2 linked regions of the Macaca mulatta genome follow. The protein of the gene in region 1 interacts with the protein of each later gene in a pairwise test. Links are inferred from orthologs where the notes say so. Each region holds a gene or a part of one and is shown on either strand. Other genes may lie near its edges. The genes, in order: JAKMIP2 and CLIP4.

The links.
Region 2: the proteins of JAKMIP2 (region 1) and CLIP4 interact in binary tests that used the Homo sapiens proteins (3 or more experiments, as listed by UniProt). The two-hybrid records come from large-scale screens. The link is inferred for Macaca mulatta from reciprocal best matches to the Homo sapiens genes JAKMIP2 and CLIP4.

Annotation. Positions count from the first base shown.
Region 1 is NC_133411.1:156,661,156-156,672,157, reverse strand, and holds the start of JAKMIP2 (janus kinase and microtubule-interacting protein 2), read left to right. Parts: upstream 1-5,759; 5' UTR 5,760-5,881; coding exon of another isoform or gene 5,882-5,884; intron 5,885-11,002.
Region 2 is NC_133418.1:95,785,575-95,795,746, reverse strand, and holds the end of CLIP4 (CAP-Gly domain-containing linker protein 4), read left to right. Parts: intron 1-3,708; coding exon 3,709-4,030; 3' UTR 4,031-5,982; downstream 5,983-10,172.

The sequences.
Region 1 (11,002 bases):
CAACTGTCCAGGACCTGAAAGGGAAAAACTGCTTCTCATTTCAGCCTCAGAGCAAAGGTTTGTATTATCATGTAAATCTCACTTAATAAATCTGAAATGGAGCAGTAGTTACTGTGAGCATCATACCTCTTTTTTCTACTGTTAGAAGAATTAATCCTTTGGCCTGTTTTCATTCATTCTTATCTCATACAGCTTGTCCATTCCATAGCTATTGACAAGCCCTAATCCCCTTAGTAAATTAACAGAAGAAAAATGGAAGAAAGAAGTTCTGTGTTTACATGTGTTGGGAGATGGAGAAGGCAGATTTTTTTGACAAACATGTAGGTGGCACATAATGGGTGCCATGTTCTGTGCTAGGTATTAGGATTAAACAACATTTGACCAGCATGCCATGTTCTTTCACATATCAGGACCTACATGCATATTCTAAATCACCTGCTCCCATTTCACCCCACAATCTCTCCAGTAATATCTTCCCTGGGATTCCAAACTACATTATACTTTTATTTTATCTGCTGTCAGAGCTGCCTGATTTTCTTTATTGTAGTGCTCAACATAATTTATTTTAAGTAATTATATAAGCTCTCTTTCCTCTTAGACCATAAGCTTCATGAGGGGAGTTCTCATGTTACCTGACTCACAGCTACATCTTTGGTACCTAGTAACAGCACATGATAGCAACTAACAATAAACATCTCTTAGATTGAGTAACAATAAATGAATGGATGAACCTTGACCTCAAAGGCCTTGCACTAAAATAAGAAGGAAAGACAAATAAAAGAATATTTACCATTCACCATGTAAGTGTAGTTAGGATGTGTCACAGTACAATGGGAACCCTAGCTTCAATGCTAACCCTCGTATCAGTGAAGATACCCTGAAGGAGTTAATGGATACATTTTAAAGGTTGAAGAGTTGAGGCAACAAAGGAACCTCAAGAGGACATAAACTGAACAAACACAAAAGTGTCTACTTGCTATGCAGGAAGTCGTCTGCAAGATCATCGGCCATAAGAGTGTAGAATTCATAGGAGAGTTCTTCTAATATATTTGCTTACTGATACTATTGATAAAGGATATACAATGAGGTCAGAATGAGATCCTTATTCTTAGCAAACTCAAGAAGATCCTTACTGCTTATATTTAATGTTCTCTGTAAATGTATAATATATTAATAATCTCTCATAAAGAAGGCAGGGGACAAATAACAGTCACTTATGAATGCCTTTGTTTTTGCCCCCTTTTTGGGGAAATCAGGCTTTTGATGAAGTGTGACATAAGCATCTCCAGAATTCCTCATTATCTCTTGATAGCTGGTCTGCAGCCATAACAGCAGCTTTTAGAATAACCCCAAGTGATCTGAGTGCTTTGGAAACATCCAGAAAAATGTGCTAGGCATAACCATAGTTAATAAAATTGTGTTTATAACAATACTGATATGATTTATCATTTATTACATGCCAGGTACTCCTTAATATTTTGCACACATAAACTTCAAAAACGACTCAATGGAACCAAAGACTTCCAACAACCCTGGGAGTGAGTCTGGACTCACTGAACTCAGTCGAGGCTTCATATGAGACAGCAACCACAGCCAACTGTTTAACTACAACTCATGACAGGCTTTGAGCCAGAAGCTCTGAGCTAAGCCACTCCCAGATTTCTGCCCTGCAAACACTATGAGATAATAAATGATGTTTCAAGGTGCAAACAAATCCCACAGAACAATAATTCAGTGAGGTAGGTATTGCTATCATGTCCTACAGATAAAGAAACTGAGCCATGGAGAAATACAGCAACTTGTCCAAGGTCACTCAGAAAAGAAATGGTAAAGCCTGTACTCAATCCAGGAAGTCTGTCCCCAGAGCCCACACTTTGCAGCTTTCTCCCATTATGCTGTGGTATCTCCTGAAATTTTAATGCCACTTTTGGAGCCAACACCCATACCCTGTACTTTTTCAGACATCTCACGGAATTCAGAAGTCAAAGTTGGAAAAGTCCCAGGAGAGACAGACAGTTTGGTCACAATTAGTACTATTGACCAAGAAGCTCTTAGAGGAAAATCAGTGTTGCCCAAAGAACACCATGCCTACCCACTGAGGACATGTTAGATGACTTTGAACATACGTGAACAAACATTTTTACTTTCATAACTGTGTAGTTTTAAAATCTGTGCCAGATAAACATTACGTTAACATGCATGTGTGCTAAATAAGGTAATTAGCATAATTATCTAAGTAATTAGAGAAATACCAACAATATATCTGAACAAACGATACTATATGTATTATTATATAATTATATGTATAAATGATAGAGCCATGATTCAACGCAGAAAGTTATTCTTTCATTTATTTACTGGTTTATTCTTCAACAAATATTTATCGAGCACCTAATAGGGCCCAGACACCACTCACAAACAAACATGGAAATAAAAATCCCTGCCCTCTCATAGTTTATGTTCTGATAGGGAGAAACAGATAAAGAAATTTAATAGCACCAAAAAAACAGTATATCACTAATATATAATATAGTACACATTATAGTATAGCATACTACATTAAGCAATGTTATAATATACTGTATTATATTATCATAGAATATATTATTAATGTTAATTTTCTATACAGTTATATAGAAAAATAGAGCATGGTAAGAGAGGGGATGGTAATAGAGAGGTGTGAGTTTTAATCTTTCTTTTTAAATTAAAAATTATTATAAATAAAGCTGAAGTCTTTGTTTTACTAAAAAATTTAAGAATTTGTTTTCATTTCCTTCCCATGGGTCCATTATCTTTACCATAACAATTTTCATTTATGTTTTGCTGAAGTCACAGAAACATTTCATTTAAAAATGAATAAATGGCAAATCAAGTAAATCATAATTAAAATAAATAAGGGAAAACTATCAATAAATAATGATAACAGTGCTGCCTGGATATGACCAAAAACAAACGAGTAAGTTGTATTTGAATGGTTAAATTGGAGATTTCTTCAAATAGGAAACACCAAACTTTTCTCTCACCAGTTGACCCTTGACCAATTGTTTTATGTTGATGGGAGGAGTGGAAAAAACTAGAATCACTTACCCCTAGCCATTTAGCTCCTAGCACTAAGGATGAACCATATGGTTATAGTTTATTAACTATAACCATAGTTAATAAAATTAACTATTTAATTAACTAGACAGTGTGGAGGGTTCTGTCATCTAGTATGTCACAACTTCTACAGCCTTCAGCTCCCTGGTCTGCTTGCTTACAAGACCATCTCTGCGGAGAAAGCAGAAGATAAAATACAGGAACACTGAAAGAAGAGAGATGATCACATCCCATTCCTTTATGTTACACGTTACGCATAGGTGATGCTGACTTGGAAGTGTTTGCAGGTTGTGTGGCCGCCGAGGCTTTGACAGAAGACAGGGGACACTAGCTGCACAAAGGAGGTCGCAGGCTTTCCCACCAAGTGGATGGAAAGCCAGTGTCAAATGCTGGGGAAGTGCTGCAACTCTTTCCCTCATCACCTAGTTATCTTCAAGCCGGTTTTATTAGAAGAAGCCCCTGACATCAAGAATGACACTATGCAGGAAAAAGTCTTCTCACGTTTTAATATTAGTTACTTACAAATGAGTAACAACTAACCGTAGCTACATCTATTGAACATTTCCTATCTGCTAAACACTGCACATTTTACACACATCATCTAGTTTAATTTTTGTAATGACTCATGAGGTTCTGTGATTATTTCTTTTTACAGATGAAGAAATGTAGATTTGAGGAAGTTAATAAATACGTTCCAAATTATACCTATAGTAAATACTGGCACTAGGAATGGTGCCTAGGTCGTCTGACTCTGGAACTTGTGTTAATTCCATTTGAACCTGTAAATAACTCTGTGGATTAAGAACAAAGATTATTTCCATTTTATGGAGGAGTGGCAGAAACGTGTAGTGGTTAGGAGAGCAAATGTAAGTGTTAGAAGAGCCCATTTTGGGGAGGCCAAGACGGGCGGATCACGAGGTCAGGAGATCGAGACCATCCTGGCTAACACGGTGAAACCCCGTCTCTACTAAAAAATACAAAAAACAAAACAAAACAAAACAAAACAAAAAAAACTAGCCGGGCGAGGTGGCGGGCCCCTGTAGTCCCAGCTACTCCGGAGACTGAGGCAGGAGAATGGCGTGAACCCGGGAGGCGGAGCTTACAGTGAGCTGAGATCGCGCCACTGGACTCCAGCCTGGGCGACAGAGCGAGACTCCGTCTCAAAAAAAAAAAAAAAAAAAAAAAAAAAAAAAAAAAAAAAAAAAAAAAAAAGAATTCATTTTGATTCTGGCTCTGTCGTTTATCAGTTGTGAATTTGGGAAATGTATCTAACTCCTCTGAGATTTACAATGTCCTCAAATATCAAGATGTAGAGAACACTTAATCTCTTAGGGCCTCTCTGTCTTTGCCATCATCATCATGGTTATTACATATTTTGGGTTTTCTCACCTTAATTTTTTCTCCTACCTGAAATTGCCATGTTATTCCCCTTAAACCCTTAGATTAAGAGGTGGCTACAATGTACTACTATGCCGTTAATAGTAAATATTTATTGTACACTTACTACATGCCAAGAGCTTTTAGCGCATTATCTCATTCAATCTTTACAACCCCTGCACGAGATAAATACGGGTGTCATCTATAATTATGGTTAGAAACAGAATTCGCCTACAACTGGACATTGCTGACCTCACTTCCCCTTTTCCTGCCCACCACCCTGACTGCCAACTGACTTCGGAACTCCAAAGGGGCATCCATGAAAACGACAGGAATTGCCTGCAGGAAAATGAATGCTCTAGGAGTTTGACTCTAAAAAGATTGGGAACTGTCCACCAACTGGTGCTACTGAGAATAGTGGTTGTTGAAAGGAATTTCGGTCTCTATCCCAACTTACTTTTCCTCAGGGAAGCGTCAATTTCCTCCAAGTCCTCTTCAGAAGGGTAGCTGGAAAAACAGTGAAACCAAGTAACTTACCTGAGAACAAGCCGGGAGTAGTGCAAAGGAATCAACCAGATTCTTAACCTATTACAAAGTCCAGGCACTCCGTTTGCTTTCTAATAACCTTGTTGCCTGGTATTGAGTAAAAGATGCTATAAAGCACGAACACGTTTGGAAGTAATAATAATCTGCTGTTATGCGACATAATTTTCTCCATATTTGTTATTATTTTTCTGATAATAAATTTCATACATTTTATTGGAAAACCACAGAAAATGCAAAAAATAGCTAAGCTGTTACGTATGTTTCGATCTAAATTTCAATTAAATTTTAATTATTCTCTCCCCGTGCCTAACCACCCTTACCCCATTTTTTAAAAGACCTGGAGTCCAGGGTAGGAGAGATCAAGAGCGTCCCAGAGGGCAGCAGCACAAATTCTCTCTCCCCTCCAGACCCTGCAGCTTGCTTCGCCCATCTCCCCTCCCGCTTAGCTTGGTCGCTTATCATTGGTCATTGCCATGGCAACCAGCAGCTGCCGGGCCGGCAGCCTCTACCGCAGCAGGGGTGGGGCACTGGGGGAGGGGGAGAGAGAGAGGAGGAGCCAAAGGAGGTGTCTGCTGCAAGTTCCTGGCTGCTTCCGAGCTCACCCCATCCTCCGAGAGGGAGGAGGCCCAACTGGTGATGCTGCTGCTGCTGCCGCCGCCGCCGCCTCTATTGCTGATACTTTAGCGGGGCTGGAAGGGTGGTTCCTATTCGCACCATCGCCAACCAGAGACAGAGGGGGAAAAAAAAAAAACCGGCAGCCGCTGCTGATGTTGGGTTCGGAGGCTGCATCCGACTCGGTCACAAGGAAAATGGATTCAGTTTGCATCTCTCCCTCCTTTAAACAGCTTCTCCGGGTCTCAGCATGGTGAGTAGGAAACAGTAGGGCTCCCTTCTTGGTTTAGCGTGTTATTATTTGACCTATGTATACATTTCTGGCCTGAACTTGAACAATGACTCCCGTGCCACAGACTAGAAGGGGGAGATGTGGAGACAGAGATGAGGATGGAGGGAGAGGAACGTTGCCAGGAAGAGAGAAGTGAGAAGGCAACCGCTTGTGTTTAAAAAAAAAAAAAAAAAAAAAAAAGGTGTTCTGATTTTATCTCTAACTGGCTCAGAATGCAGACTGAGCCACTTGGTGCCTTTTTCTCCTAAGCTTAGCAACAGCATCAGGGGTTGGAAAAAGAGCTAACAACAAGAAGAGGGTGTTATTGAAAGGAATCATTTCATTTGCAGCTCTCACATACAGGGTTGGGCCTTCTTCAGAAATACATTTGGTGTCTCATAAGCTTCTCAGACTCATTATAAGGTGGTTTTGCTTATTTTATTGATTGCTTAGAAAAAGTGGCCCCAGAATTTGACATTTTATTTTGTACTCTTGTTGAGAAATCATTTGCAAGACCCAGTTTTATTTTATACGTAGATTTGATTGTGAACTTACACATGTATATCTTATGGATATATATATCATATATACACATGTTACTTAGCATTTATATTGCATTTATGAAGCATATTTATATGTAGGGTGTGCTTTGCAGTCATTTTTATGGTTTAGATATGTCCTTGCATTCCTGGAAGTACTTGCATGTTTTTGAAACTATGCTTCTGGTTTATATTATTATTCATTGGCTTTATTTGGATTAATGTGAAATTTACTCTGGTTATTGTCTCTTAGTTTCATTGTGACCAATTGGAACAGATGCCTATGATTTGATCTGTGTCACAGAACTAGATGCAAATTCGTAGCCTGCCTCTTTATTTTTAATTGGGTTTGTGGGGGATGATATTGAGGACTCCGAATTTACAATGATGGGAAAGGGAGGTGGCTTGTGGTATTATTTTGTATCTAGCATCTTACCAAATCAATGTTGAAGCAAATCAGTTTTCTTGAAATGCCACCCCAACCTTTTCATGTTTGTGCCTTGTATCCCAGGAAGCACAGCTGAGCTGGCAGGTGAAATGCATTCATTTTATTTAATAGTGCTGCTATCTGCTGTTCATTCCTTCAGTATCCAGGAACCATTTTACAGTTCTCTCAAATGTTGTATTAAGGGTCTCCTTCTGTAAATAAGAACGTAGGATTGTTTTGAAAATCTAGGTATTCCTAAGCACCCTAGCCCAGCCGTTTCCAAATTAGTCTGCTTATACAATGAAATGAAACCAGGGAGTGAGCAAAGCTGAACAGGAGAATGTGTGGCTTGTAGCTGAATTGGGCTGGGGGGGGGGGATGTGTGGGGGGGGTGGGCTATTGTAATTTACAAATGCTTACTGGGATCTGCTTGACCTTTTATTATGTCAAGGTTTTAAGGCAGCTCAGGAGACTAAAGATCCCTGAGATGAGGAGGTTCCATTCCCACTCAGGATAATGGATTTCATTGAATTAAAGCCAGAAAAAAATATGTAGGTAGAGTGTATTAGTAGTATTACATTTACCACATGGGCTATTATAGTTTTATCCATTAGTCTCTTCTCTAACAATATCAGTGTCAGTACAGACATTTTTTACAATGTAAAATGACAATTATTTGGGGCTTTAGTCTGGCATCTGATTCTACATACTCCCCCCACATTTATAATTTTCACATGTATTTGAATCGGGTTTATAGTTTAATTTGTCTGAGAATAATTGTTCTATTTGGCTTATACATGAGAAGGGCCCTTGGGGACTTAATTGTGCATGTCCTCATAGCATGTCATATATTATAGATCCACAGCTTTGTAAACTCATGCTACTTTGTGCCTAATTGTAACAACTATATGAAATAGGGCAAGAAAAGAGGTACTGGGCTTGTATGTTATAACAAATTGTATAACACATTGTATCCTGAATCTTTTAGTGATAACACTTGACTTCCAAAAATCAAAATGTTAGATATGTCTATTGTACACTTAAAAAATTAAGATTTGTAAAATTAAGATTTGTTGACCCCATTTCATGCAATGAAAGCAGATATCCTGTGGCTTTGTTTTTGTTTCTTTCTTGTTGAGTTTTCGTTTGGAGGTGGTTTTATAGGCAAAGTTGGTACAGTTTGAACAGAGGCAAATCCCTTAGGTCATGTGCTTAAAACTCCTTGTAGATAGCCTGTTTCAGCTATGTGTCTGCTGTTACCCTGATAGAAATACAGGTCTAGCTTTTGACCCCAGTCTTTAAGACAACTATATGACCTTTGCTAAGGGGCCGCTGAAAAGTGAAGTGTGTTTCAAGCACTAGAAGTTGAACTCTCTGCGGAAAGATTTTTAAAAGCTAGGATTCGTATGTAACAAATCTGCATGTTGTGCACATGTACCCTAGAACATAAAGTGTAATAAATAAATAAATAAATAAATAAATAAGCTAGGATTATTTCATTTGGAGAAGAGAACAATGAAATACGACAATCATTTGTTTCAGATAAGCTGAGCATGGGGCATAAGCATAGGACATTGCTTATTGCTATTTTTTGAAACTTCAAATGTGGTCAATGGGCTTCAACTTTATGAGGAATTATGAAGATTAGAAATATAAAAATGTAGAAGTTCCTCATAGTAAGTGTGAGTAGTCAACTGGCTAATCAAATAAAGCAATGTACTCTTCTCTCATCAAAACTGCCAAAAGTATGACCTAGATATGCTTTTGTCTAGGATGGACTAGATTTCCTTCTCAAGAACTTCTCTTGCTTTTTCTAGAGTGAGTCATTTATTTAAGAGAGTACATTAGTTGTTTAAGATCAGGCACTTCTAGATTATAACAGTAAGACTCCATTTTGTAGTTGGCTTCTAAATTACAGGATCTAGGTATTTGTAAAGAAATCAACTGATCATCTTCCTAGAGAAATTTACATGTAATCCTGCCAGAATTCAGGAAACTGAACATTTACCTGTTCATAAGAGCCCTTCTTTCTCAGCAACTTTATGGAGTGTGATGTCAAATACCTATATTAAAATTATCTCATATTGTATAGTTAATTTTGAAAAATGTAATGTGTCATTTAATGGGGTCTTTATACAAAATAATTCAAGAGCCATCAAGTTGTTTTTTTAAAAAAACAAATTATATGAAAGATATATACAAATTAATGCTTAAATGTGCTATTTAACAAACTAATCTTCCACTCAAACACTATCTTAAAAATGTCATTCATGTTAGAATATTAAAGTTAAATATTTTGATTGGTATGTAAGACTTTAGTAAAACTTGTTTTAATTAAGACACACACTAATTAATTTCTCACTTTGTAATAGGACGTTTCTCATTTCGGGTGACATCAGAACATGTTTTGATTTTATGTACCTGCTGCAAGTCGGCTTCAGGATGACTTAGACAATATTTGCAGAGTGAAACAGTTTTTTACATTTCTTTTTGGTTCATGAAAAGTCAATACTTTGTTTCTCATGGTTGGAGCTTATTGTGGAAGTTTTAACATAAATAACGCAATGATGGTCTTTTACTGAAAGAAATACGTTAGGTTTATACTTGGTTGTTACTCTGTGAAGTGTGTTACAATTCCCTCTGTTTACACATTCCACTATTTTTCTATCAAGGGAAAATGTGCTTTCAAACAGGATAAATTAATCAATTGACTAACAACTATTTGTAGAGCTTTCATATGACTAGCAGAATTTGCATGTGCTAGCAAAAAAGAATTTCCTTGGAGAATATAAGATATACATCCATGAAACAGTTAGTGTTGAAAACAATATAGTTGTAATTAGTACCATCACTTCACCATATATTAATACAAGTTTTCATAATTCTGTCATTTTTCCATTCTTTTTCATTTTATATTCTATCAATTTCAATTTATATGCTATCATTTCAATTCTATCATATCAGCAAAGCTAGTGTCATAGTAATTCTTTAAAATAAGTGGAAACAGATTCAAGGAGGTTAGACTTGTCCAAATTTGTGTTTGGTAAATGGTGTAACAGGCTGGATCCCTAGTCTCATAAGTACAAACTACTATAGTAGAAAGGTAGCGAATTATCTTACCAACATGAATTTTAACTAATCTGTGTTGTGTGGCTCATTTTATTTGAATATTTCAGGTACCAAAATTTGTTCTTTGGACATATCAAATTGCCAAATACACTATGTGCGTAGGGTATCAGGCAAACAAACAAAAAATGAAAACAAAACAAAACAAAACGGCTCACACACACAAAAAGAGTACTTTAGAGAAAATCTAGGCTTTTTGATATATCAGAAAAACCTAGAAGCATTTGTTTGGGTGAAAATCAGAACTTTATTGGACTGCTATGCATTTATTTTATAAATAAATATTGTTTTTATTTTTAATGACGTAGAGTTTGGGAGGTGACCATTGTTTTCTGTGTTTAGGATCAGATTAAAATTCCTGTAGGTCCTGAATCTTGAAAAAATTATGCCACCTCCCACCTATATGTCCTAATTATCTCTCTACCTACACATTCTTAAAAGTAAAAATGATGTTGTTATAAAATAAGTGTACATGGCCGGGCGCGGTGGCTCAAGCCTGTAATCCCAGCACTTTGGGAGGCCGAGACGGGCGGATCACGAGGTCAGGAGATCGAGACCATCCTGGCTAACACGGTGAAACCCCGTCTCTACTAAAAAATACAAAAAACTAGCCGGGCGAGGTGGCGGGCGCCTGTAGTCCCAGCTACTCCGGAGGCTGAGGCAGGAGAATGGCGTAAACCCGGGAGGCGGAGCTTGCAGTGAGCAGAGATCGCGCCACTGCACTCCAGCCTGGGTGACAGAGCCAGACTCCGTCTCAAAAAAAAAAAAATAAGTGTACATCAGTTCAACAACTTTCTGGTATTTTCTCTGAACAAATGCTCCTACATTTTTCTGAAATATAAAAAATATTTATTTGTTTTTCAAATATTCTAATTTTCTGGTGTATCTTTTTCTTTATTAATTCCCTAGGCACATACTGGTATAAGTATTTGGTAATTCAGCTCTGGCCAAATAGCAAATTATGACATTGAACCATATTCTACATTTGGAAAAAGAGTCCTTTATAAT
Region 2 (10,172 bases), on another chromosome or scaffold:
ATGTTGATATCTAGATGAGATTATCACTGTTAGCATTTGGTATATACTTTTCCAATTGTTTTCCTAATGCATGTGTCTGATTTTTTTTTTTTTTTTTTTTTTTTTTTTTTGAGAGGGAGTTTCACTCTTGTCGCCCCAGCTGGAGTGCAATGGTGTGATCTTGGTCACTGCAACCTCCGCCTCCTGGGTTCAAGTGATTCTCCTGCCTCAGCCTCCCGAGTAGCTGGGATTACAGGCCCGTACCACCATGCCCAGCTAATTTTTTGTATTTTTAGTAGAAACGGGGTTTCACCATGTTAGCCAGGCTGGTCTCGAATTCCTGACCTCAGGTGATCCACCTGCCTCGGCCTCCCAAAATTCTAGGATTACAGTGTGCACCACCGTGCCCGACCATGTGTCTGAATTTTTAAGCAATGGGAAATGAATCATATTCCATATACCCATTTCAAAGCTTTCCCCCTGTATGTCATGCTCATATTCCCATATTCTTTAATAGCTTCCTTCCGCGTTACTTTAGCAATGTTTTTAAAGACTGTGCCGTGATATGAAAACATTTTTATGTTTTTTTTCCATTAATTTTTTTGAGCCTCAGATTCTTCTTCCGTTATAAGGAGGTAATAATCCCCTCTTCACTGGTTTGGGTGAGATCAAAAGAGATAACGTATGTGAAGTGTTAGGTACCTACTGAGTGTTCAGGAAGTGATAGCTGTTGTCATTATTCATGTGAAAATTACAGTAATTTTGTCAGGCTACAAAAACTTATTCACAATAATAAATGAAAAAAATCAGAATTTAATTTGTAATAGATGCCAGACTTGTAAAACATGTATTGAACTCTCCCCTTCCTTGCACCTTCCCCAATACTTCCTGTCTCTTTCTCTACATATATGTATGTGAGGGTGTTTTTCAATATTTATGTATTTATTTGATGAGTCTTACTCTGTCACCCAGGCTGGAGAGCAGTGGCACTATCTCAGTTCACTGAAACCTCTGCCTCCTGAGTTGAAGTGATTCTCGTGCCTCAGCCTCTTGAGTAGCTGGGATTACAGGCGCCTGCCACTGTGCCCCTCTAAGTTTTATATTTTTTGTACAGCCAGGGTTTCACCATGTTGACCAGGCTGGTCTGAAACTCCTGGCCTTAAGTGATCTGACTGCCTCAGCCTCCCACAGTGCTGGGATTATAGGCGTGAGCTGCTGTGCCTGGCTCTGTTTTCAGTTCATGCATTAAAGGTCTTTATTTGCAGTTAATTTTAATGTGGAGGAGTGGTGAGAATCATAGCCTTTGTCTCAGCTAATTTTTACAGCACTTCTAATTCCATGTTCACTCCTTTTTCACTGCTTTGAAGTTTTACTTTTTAATCACATGTAAAATAATTATGTGTGTGTTTCATTTTTCTAAAATATGTTTTCTGTGTCATTTAAAACTACATTCTTATGCCAGAGCCACATTATTTTAACTGTTTTAACTTTATAATTTAACCTAATGGCAGCGTAAACCTTGCCTCATTATTTTTCAACCTTTTCTTAATTACCAGTACCCATTCTGTTTGTGAAGAGAGCCTGGCCTTTGTGCTTATGCAGCCATGGATCTGAGCCTCGTCTTTGCTCTTTTCATCTCTCTGACCTTAGGCACATAGCTTAATTTTTTTGAGCCTCAGATTCTTCTTCCGTTATAAGGAGGTGTAATAATCCCCTCTTCACTGGTTTGGGTGAGATCAAAAGAAATAACGTATGTGAAGTGTTAGGTACCTACTAAGTGTTCAGGAAGTGATAGCTATTGTCATTATTCCTGTGAAAATTACAGTAATTTTGTCAGGTTACAAAAAATATCCATTTGGGGAGGATTAACCTATATACATTTCTGTTTAGTAACAGAGCTCCTCCATGTGTGTTCTTCAGTAAAGATTTATGCTTTTTCTTACAGGTATTACATGTTTCTTCAGTAAATTTATTATTTGTGCATTTGACATGTGAATAATTTAAGACTGTTTTCTAATTAGAATTCTATCACGTACTTGCAGATGTGGCTTAGAATAAATCTCTGAGCCTCAGTTTTCCTATCCATTAAAATTAGTCATCTTCCTTTGTTGCAGGGTGGTTAATAGGAGCAAATGAAACATTGTATGTGACAGTGTATTAAAAATATAGAAAATGAAATGAAATATGAAATAAGACCCAGATTCTGTTCACAACAAGCTCCTGTGTAGTTTTAGTAACAGGTTCTGTGTTGAATCTCCTGTGGGGTAGGGAGAAGGGTTTCTTTTGGAGGGGGGTGGCATGGGATAGAGGATGGAAGGCTCCAGGTAGTTTTGGTGGTTTCTTGCCGTTTTGGAAGGTCTCAGCCCAGGGGGCAACAAGACTCTGGTCATGTTTCTGTTGTGGGTGAATATCAGGGTCAGTTACTTCCAGTGGACAGTGCAGGCAGCTCTGGGGCAATATGGCCTTGAGGCCTTGGGTGAGTGCACTGGGGAGTCCCATGCCTCATTATCAGGTTGTGGTGGTGGTGAGTGCTAGGAGACGTTCTAGCACATTGTAAGGAATGTTATGTTGTAGGGAGAAGGAGAGGCAGCTGCTCCAGGCACCTCAGACCCTCATTAGTGTTAGTGGCTGGGAGGGTGCTAAACTTTTAACTGTAACTGGAGTTTATACATAGAACATATGTGCATATATGTATAGATATTTCCAAAGTTGTAGATTTACAGTTTTTGAAATTTGTTTTCATATGAAAAAATATTTTTTTCGAGTGAACAAAAAATAAATTTACTACACTGTCAAAATACTAGATTCTTTTCTTTTTGCTTTATTTGATAATATTGATAGCAATTAAAACAGCCAAAATACTAGATTCTTTCTTTTTGCTTTATTTGATAATACTGGTAGAAATTAATTAGGTATAAGTGTATTTTTTCTAATTGCTATTTTACTGAAAGCATATATATGTGTATGTGTGTGTACATACACATATATATGTGTACACACACACACACACATATATATGGCAAATGAAATCTTAAATCCAGAATAGGGTAGTCTTAAAATAGCGCAAAGACAAAAACTTTTAAAATGTTAAACAAAAGTACAGTTGAACTTTGAGTAATGAGTGCGGGCATTAGGAGTGCCATCCCCTGCTTGCCTGCACAGTTGAAAATCAGTGTATATCTTTTGACTCTCCCAGAACTTAACTACTGATAGCCTACTGTTGACTGGAAGCCTTACCTATAACATAAAGAGCTGATTAATACATATTTTGTAAGTTACATGTAGTATGTACTGTATTCTTACAATAAAGTAAAAAAATGTTAAAGTCATAAGGAAAATATATTTACTATACCTTAAGTAGAAGCAGATCATCATAAAGATCTTCATCTTCATTCTCCTCACTTTGTGCAGCCTGAGGAGGAGGAGGAAGAGAAGGGGTTGGTCTTGCTGTCCCGGGTGGCGGAGGCAGAAGAAACTCCGTGTATGCGCGGACCCACATACTTCAAACCTGTGTAGTTCATGGGTCAACTGCATATTCTAAAACTGCTATTTAAAATTTGAAAATCAAGTTGTGACCATAAAGTATTCTCTTTTGGGAACTGAATGAATGAATTCTGCATCTGGCAGTGGAAATGATATCAGGAAATGATGGCTGTCGTCATTCTTTATGTGAAAATCACAGTAATCTTCAGCACTAAAGAATTTTCCCCACTTTTCCCTTCCGCACAGATCGAAAGCTGCTTTGCGTCGCAGTTGGAGCAGCACTCCCCCTGCAGGCGGCATTGAAGGGAGCGTGAAGCTGCACGAGGGGTCTCAGGTCCTGCTCACGAGCTCTAACGAGATGGGTACTGTTAGGTACGTGGGCCCCGCTGACTTTGCTTCAGGTATCTGGCTTGGACTTGAGCTCCGAAGCGCTAAGGGAAAAAATGATGGGTCAGTGGGCGACAAGCGCTATTTCACCTGTAAGCCGAACCATGGAGTCTTAGTTCGACCGAGTAGAGTGACCTATCGGGGAATTAATGGGTCCAAGCTTGTGGATGAGAATTGTTGAGTTAAGCTTCTAATATATTAAATAAGCTCGAATATATATATTCGAATATATATATATAAATATATATATATATATTTGGTGTAAATAAAGAGTCCATGGTAAATGGTTTACTTTATTTAGCCATATTTAAATTTTGAAAATATAGTTATCTTCTTAAAAACCATTATAACAATTCAGAGAGAGTTCTTTACAAAGCCATGAATATGAACTCTGGGGAATCATGGTTCTTTTAAAGCAATTTTCAAAATAAGTACCGATTAAAGCTTTAGGTCCCAAGAAAATTCTGGGACTCAGGAAGAAAAAGTGCCATCAGGTGACCAGCTGTTGCATTTCTTTGCTTATTCTGTTTTTGTTTTGCACAAACCTATTGGATTTTTCTTAGCGCCATAATTGCGAAGGGTTTCTCTAGCTTTGGTTACGAATAATGTTCACATGACCTTTTTTTTGGTCAAGCATTTTTGGAATTTTTCTTTCTTTCTGTGCTTTATTACTAATAAGTCCAATAAGTGAATAGTAACTAGATGACTAGTATGTATTTTTATATTTTGGTAAAATTATTTGCCCTTTCAGAAATGCCTCGTCTAAAGATACATGATAATTTTGGGGTTGGAAGGGGCCTCAGAGCCTCTGCAGCTCTGCTTCTTGTCCATTGCCAAATACGGAAGTGGAAGCCCGTCTTACCTGGGGTCACTAACTGGTTGGTTAACTGAGCTAAGAGTAGAATGTGGGTCTCCTCACTTGTGGCCCAGTGCTCTTTCCTCTATACAAAATGTCTAATCTCAGATTTTTCTTCTGCTGCTTGACTGCTTCATCTGGATGAACTACAAAAACCCATGATTAAGGTTTATGAATTCAAGTGGTAATTAGATTTTTTTGCACAAACTTACTTAACTTCCTTATTGGATATGTTTGTAACACATAAACACGAAGCACTTTTAAAACATGATGCACTTTTATCTTTGTGAAGAATTTACCGTCCTTTCCTCCTGAGATATGAGAAACATTTTAAAAAACGTATTTAACGGAAGAGAGCAAATAAAGATATATTAGGAGGGATGTATTAGTTATTTACTTAAATGTTTATAATATCTGGATTTTTTTTGTTTTATTACTCATAGAACTGGTGTTGGGTTTGCTGTTTTTATTTCTCGAATTGTTGCAGAGTTCAGCCTGTTACAAAGCTACAGAACTGTACTGTTTTTATTTTTCTTCTTGAGCACATGTTAAACTAAGCTTCATATTAGAGTGATGTCATAATGTAAAATGTTTGCATTGTGGTTACATATTGAAGTTAATGTCCTGTCTGTGTAAAGATTCATCTTTTATTGTGAATATTTAGACTTTACCACAGAAATATTGGAACAGTTTGCTTTATAAGATTAAAAAGTATCCTTCAGAATGGAGCTTGCCTTGTGCTTAGAAATAATATGTTGAACTATTTTGCAATATACTATTTTAAATCTAAATTCTGTCACTTCGCTGCCTTTTTAAAATAGTGTGGTGTTTCAAATATTGCTAGAGCTATTTTCCTGAAATACATTTGCAAAATAAGGCTGCTTTGTAATCAAGGAATATTTTTATTGATTGAAGGAAATGACTGTACTGCGATTCAAAAGTAAACTTATTTTATTATACAGATTATTTCTTAAAAACTCTATTTATACCTTAACATGAAATCCATGACCACACCAAACTTGGTTATTCATAATTTTTCCTGTTAAATATAAAACACTATAAGTTAAAAACAGTAATGCCAACGTTGAATTTATTTTTGAGGTCAAAGAACCAGTTCTCTTTATATTTAGATGAGGATTATTAAGTCCATATAACATGTATGTTTACATATATTATACATGCAAATTAGGTGTTTTCATTTGTGTTTTGCTTATGAAATGTCATTTAAAGTTCAATTCTTGAGCATCAATAAAAAGGGAAGCTGTGTGGTTTTGGAATGTTATCTTGTCATTTACCCTATTTGCAACTCTCCTTTTTCTCAGTAACTCAGGGTACATATGCTTTGAACTTTTTCCTCATGGTAATGGCTTGGGTTTGTCCTATCCCTATAAAGAATATTAAAAAGTATCATGCTTTCTACTCAACAATGTATGTTCATAGCCACCCTCCTATTATTGTTTTGATGAATAGTGAGTCATTTAAGAAAAGAATACATTTCTACAGTTAGGATTTCACTTGTTTATTTAGTGTAGGATGGAACACTTTGAATTTAGAAAATAGAAATAACTGCCTTTTACTAAACTTTGTTTTTATATTTTGTTTTATATTTAGGGTGACTTTGAGGGAATATTTTTAAGTATGTAAGAATGGTGAGATACAGCTGTTTGCTGACTGAACCGTGGTGTTGTAATCTTGGTGTGAGTCTCTGGCACCTCCTCCCAAGAGCTCCTTGTTCCCCTCTCATGTTTTAATTTTCTCTTTAGCATTTGGTCATGCTTACTACTGATTACAGCTTCTTGCTTATTATTTCTTCCTTCCTTCACTAGATTGAGGAGTGGATTTTTGACTGTTTTGTTCACCACTTTATCCCCAACGCCTAGAATAATACTTGATACCTAGTAGACGCTCGGTTTTGTTGCGTGAACAAAGGCAGTAAAGGCCACTGATTGTTGGAAATATGCTATCTAGCTAGCTAGCTTCAGACAAGGGGCCTTGCGAGACTAGGCCACAGAACAGGTAAATTTTCTTAGACATGGAAGGAAGGAGGACAAGTTTGAATCCAGGAGCCCCGAACTTACCCCTGAAGAGTGTCGTGTAAGAGACAATAGATGCTGAGTGGTGCAGCAGTAGGGAATGGGGAGGAAAGACACAGCAGGACCAACTGGGTCAGCTCCCTTTCCCTTCTGCCTGGTGCTGACTTTCAATTCCTATTTTAATATGATGGTAATGTACAGAACATGGAAATACGTGTGGTCTAATGTGGAGAGAATGAACTGGATCATACCCAAGTGGGGATAACGTTGATCTCCAGTATTTTATTTATATATATATATATATAAAATACTTTATATATATAATATATAAATATAATATTTTATATATTAAAAATATAATATATATATATATATATATTTTTTTTTTTTTGAGTCGGAGTCTTGATCTGTCACCCAGGCTGGAATGCCATGGTGCGATCTTGGCTCACCGCGACCTCTGCCTCCTGGGTTCAAGCGATTCTCCTGCCTCAGCCTCCCGAGTAGCTGGGATTACACAGGCACCCACCACCATGCCCAGCTAATTTTTTTTTGTATTTTTGGTAGAGACAGGGTTTCCCCATGTTGGCCAGGCTGGACTCAAACTCCAGACCTCAGGTGATCCACCTGCCTTAGCCTGCCAAAGTGCTGGGATTACAGGCCTGATCCACCATGCCTGCCTGTGTTAGATGTTTTTATTTCAGAGTTTTATTTTGAGGCTACCTATTTAGAACGTGTGATAATATTATTTAAACCACATCAACCAATAGCTAGAAGCCTATTGTGTTAAAATCATTCTTAATTGAGAAATAGTTCTAGTTTTTTTAATTACTTACCAGATGGATATTTGTTATCAAAATAACAAATGACTGAATGACTCAGAGACATATAATATCCATTACCACATTGCAAGCCAATAGAAGAATTAATTTTTTATTTTTTTCATGCCCTTCTCTACACTTATTTATAATACAAATACAGTGGTTAATACAAAACTCACGTTATCATGTATATTTTTAGTATTTGTTTAGTATCCCTTGGTACATAGGCCTTATTTACAAACAGTGTCACATGCTGTTTGAATATAAAATAAGCATTCCTGATGAAGTTTATGTATAGGATGAACAAGTTAAACTTGCAGGACATGTTAAGATTGTATTATAAGCGGAATATGATGCTTTTGCTTAGGCAAAAAGATGTTCTATCATACTTTTTTGCTAATGCTCCTTTTTATGAGAGGAAGTCTACATGGTGGAATTCGAGTAGAGGGGCACATATTACTGACATTAATATCCTTTCATTATGTGTGGTCAAATGAAACTTTGTTTTATAGCTCTCTGTTGAGAGCAGCATCAAGGTGTAGGAGAAGCTTTTTCCTTTTATCTTTTTAGAATGTCTTCCAAAGATTAGAATGTTCATGACAATAAATCAGCAGCAAATTTCATCATTTACTATACCTTTCAAATAGGGCAAGTGTAGTGGTCATGGTGGTTGAGAAGGGGCAGGGCGTTCTGAATTATTAAAGATATTTCAGGTGTTTAAATTGAGGCTGTTAGCTGAAAACATAATCTGTTCCCAAGGATCACTGGTGTCATTTTTTAAATGCTCATAAATCTGGTTTAAGTTTGGCTCTAAAATCCCTCATGAACCTAGATATGTGAGTGTGTTGCCACCGTAGCCCCAATAGACTCCTGCGTCAGGAGGAATTTGGTCTCAGGATTAGATATTTAGTCAGAGTTGTTTCAGCTGGCTACATAAAATCCAATTGGGATCAACTGAACTCAGCAAGCTAACTGAGTACAGGATACTGTACTGAATTTGAATTTTAGGCATTTCTAAAGCATAGAAGGTTTAACCATCCGAGTGCTGTGTTCTTGGCCTGTGTCCATCTGAGGGAGGTTAAGTTCTTTCAGTTCCAGCCCTTCATGACTTTATTCCAAGTAGACAGACTTACCTTATTGAAGACTGAACTAATTATCATTTTTCACATAACAAATCAGACCGACATGGAGATGAATCATATTAAGATTATATGCACAGCTTCATGCCATGCTTTTTGTTCTTTTCTCTAGTATGACTTCTGAGATTCAGCTTGAAACTCAGTCAACAGTGTTAATGACATTGGCTGCCCCTGACAGTTCTTGTTGTGAAGGGGTGGTTGTTACTATCCAGTATCTTTGGGGGAAAAAAAACCCTAAAATGAATTTTTAAATGAATTTTAATAGTCATAAAAAGTCTAATATTGATGGCAAGGGGAAGTGGATTTTGTATTACAGACAATATAGAGCATTACAGAGCAGAAGAATAAAGCAAAAAATTAGAGTTGCCTTTATTGAACCTGCCAATACAAATGGATTTCTAATAAGAATTCCAGTACATTACACATATCAGTGAAAATATTGTACTTTTTTCAGATGATATTTTCTCTTACTTGAAGGGAATAGAGCTTAGGGAATTAAGAAATAGCATGAGATTCTTGAGGCCTCACTTTACACCCCCCGGTGTGTAACAAAGGAAAATCCAATGTAATTTTCTGCTTTAGTTTCTTATCCTTTATAAAACATCACCAGCTGTTTCCTGGTGCATACTTGAGGAAAAAGAATTTCTATCTTGAAAATTATTTCTTCTGAGAACTGTGAAATACTATATAAATATTACTTTGAGAATAATGCGAGAAGATTTAAATTGTTTCTTTTCTCAACTATTAGATGCAGTAAAATGTAGGAAATTTGCCCACAGTCTTCATAATCTTATCTTGGTGGGATGTTGGAATTGGCTGTCTTTTTGGATTCCCTGTTTCTAGGGATCCATTATAAAACTATGTGGTTCACAACAGGTTTCCAAAAATTGCCATCCAATGGCAGTGGATATCTGTATGAGCCTGAAAAGAGGGGTTCTGTCCAATTCTATGGTGATTGTGAGAGAGGACTCCTGTTCTTAATGAATTGCTCATCATAATGGCACTTGGATGCACTTATTGAGGAGCATCAGAATCCACAGGCACCTCCTGCTCTCAAACACCTGACTTGCTGTAGGCTTTGCCACCTCACTTTGGGAATGGGCACTATATGGGTTGGCTGTGTCCCCACCCAAATCTCATCTTGAATTGTAGCTTCTATCATCCCCGTATGTCATGGGAGGGACCTGGTAGGAGGTAACTAAATCATGGAGGTGGGCTTTTCCCATGCTGTTCTCATGATAGTGAATGAGTCTCATGAGATCTGATAGTTTTATAAAGGGCAGTTCCCCTGCACACGCTCTCTTGCCTGCTACCATGTAAGACATGCCTTTGGTCCTCCTTTGCCTTCCACCATGATTGTGAGGCCTCCCCAGCCATGTGGAACTGTGAGTCCATCAAACCTCTTTTTCTTTATAAATTACCCAGTCTTGGGTATGTCTTTATCAGCAGTGTGAGAACAGACTAATATAGGCACTGA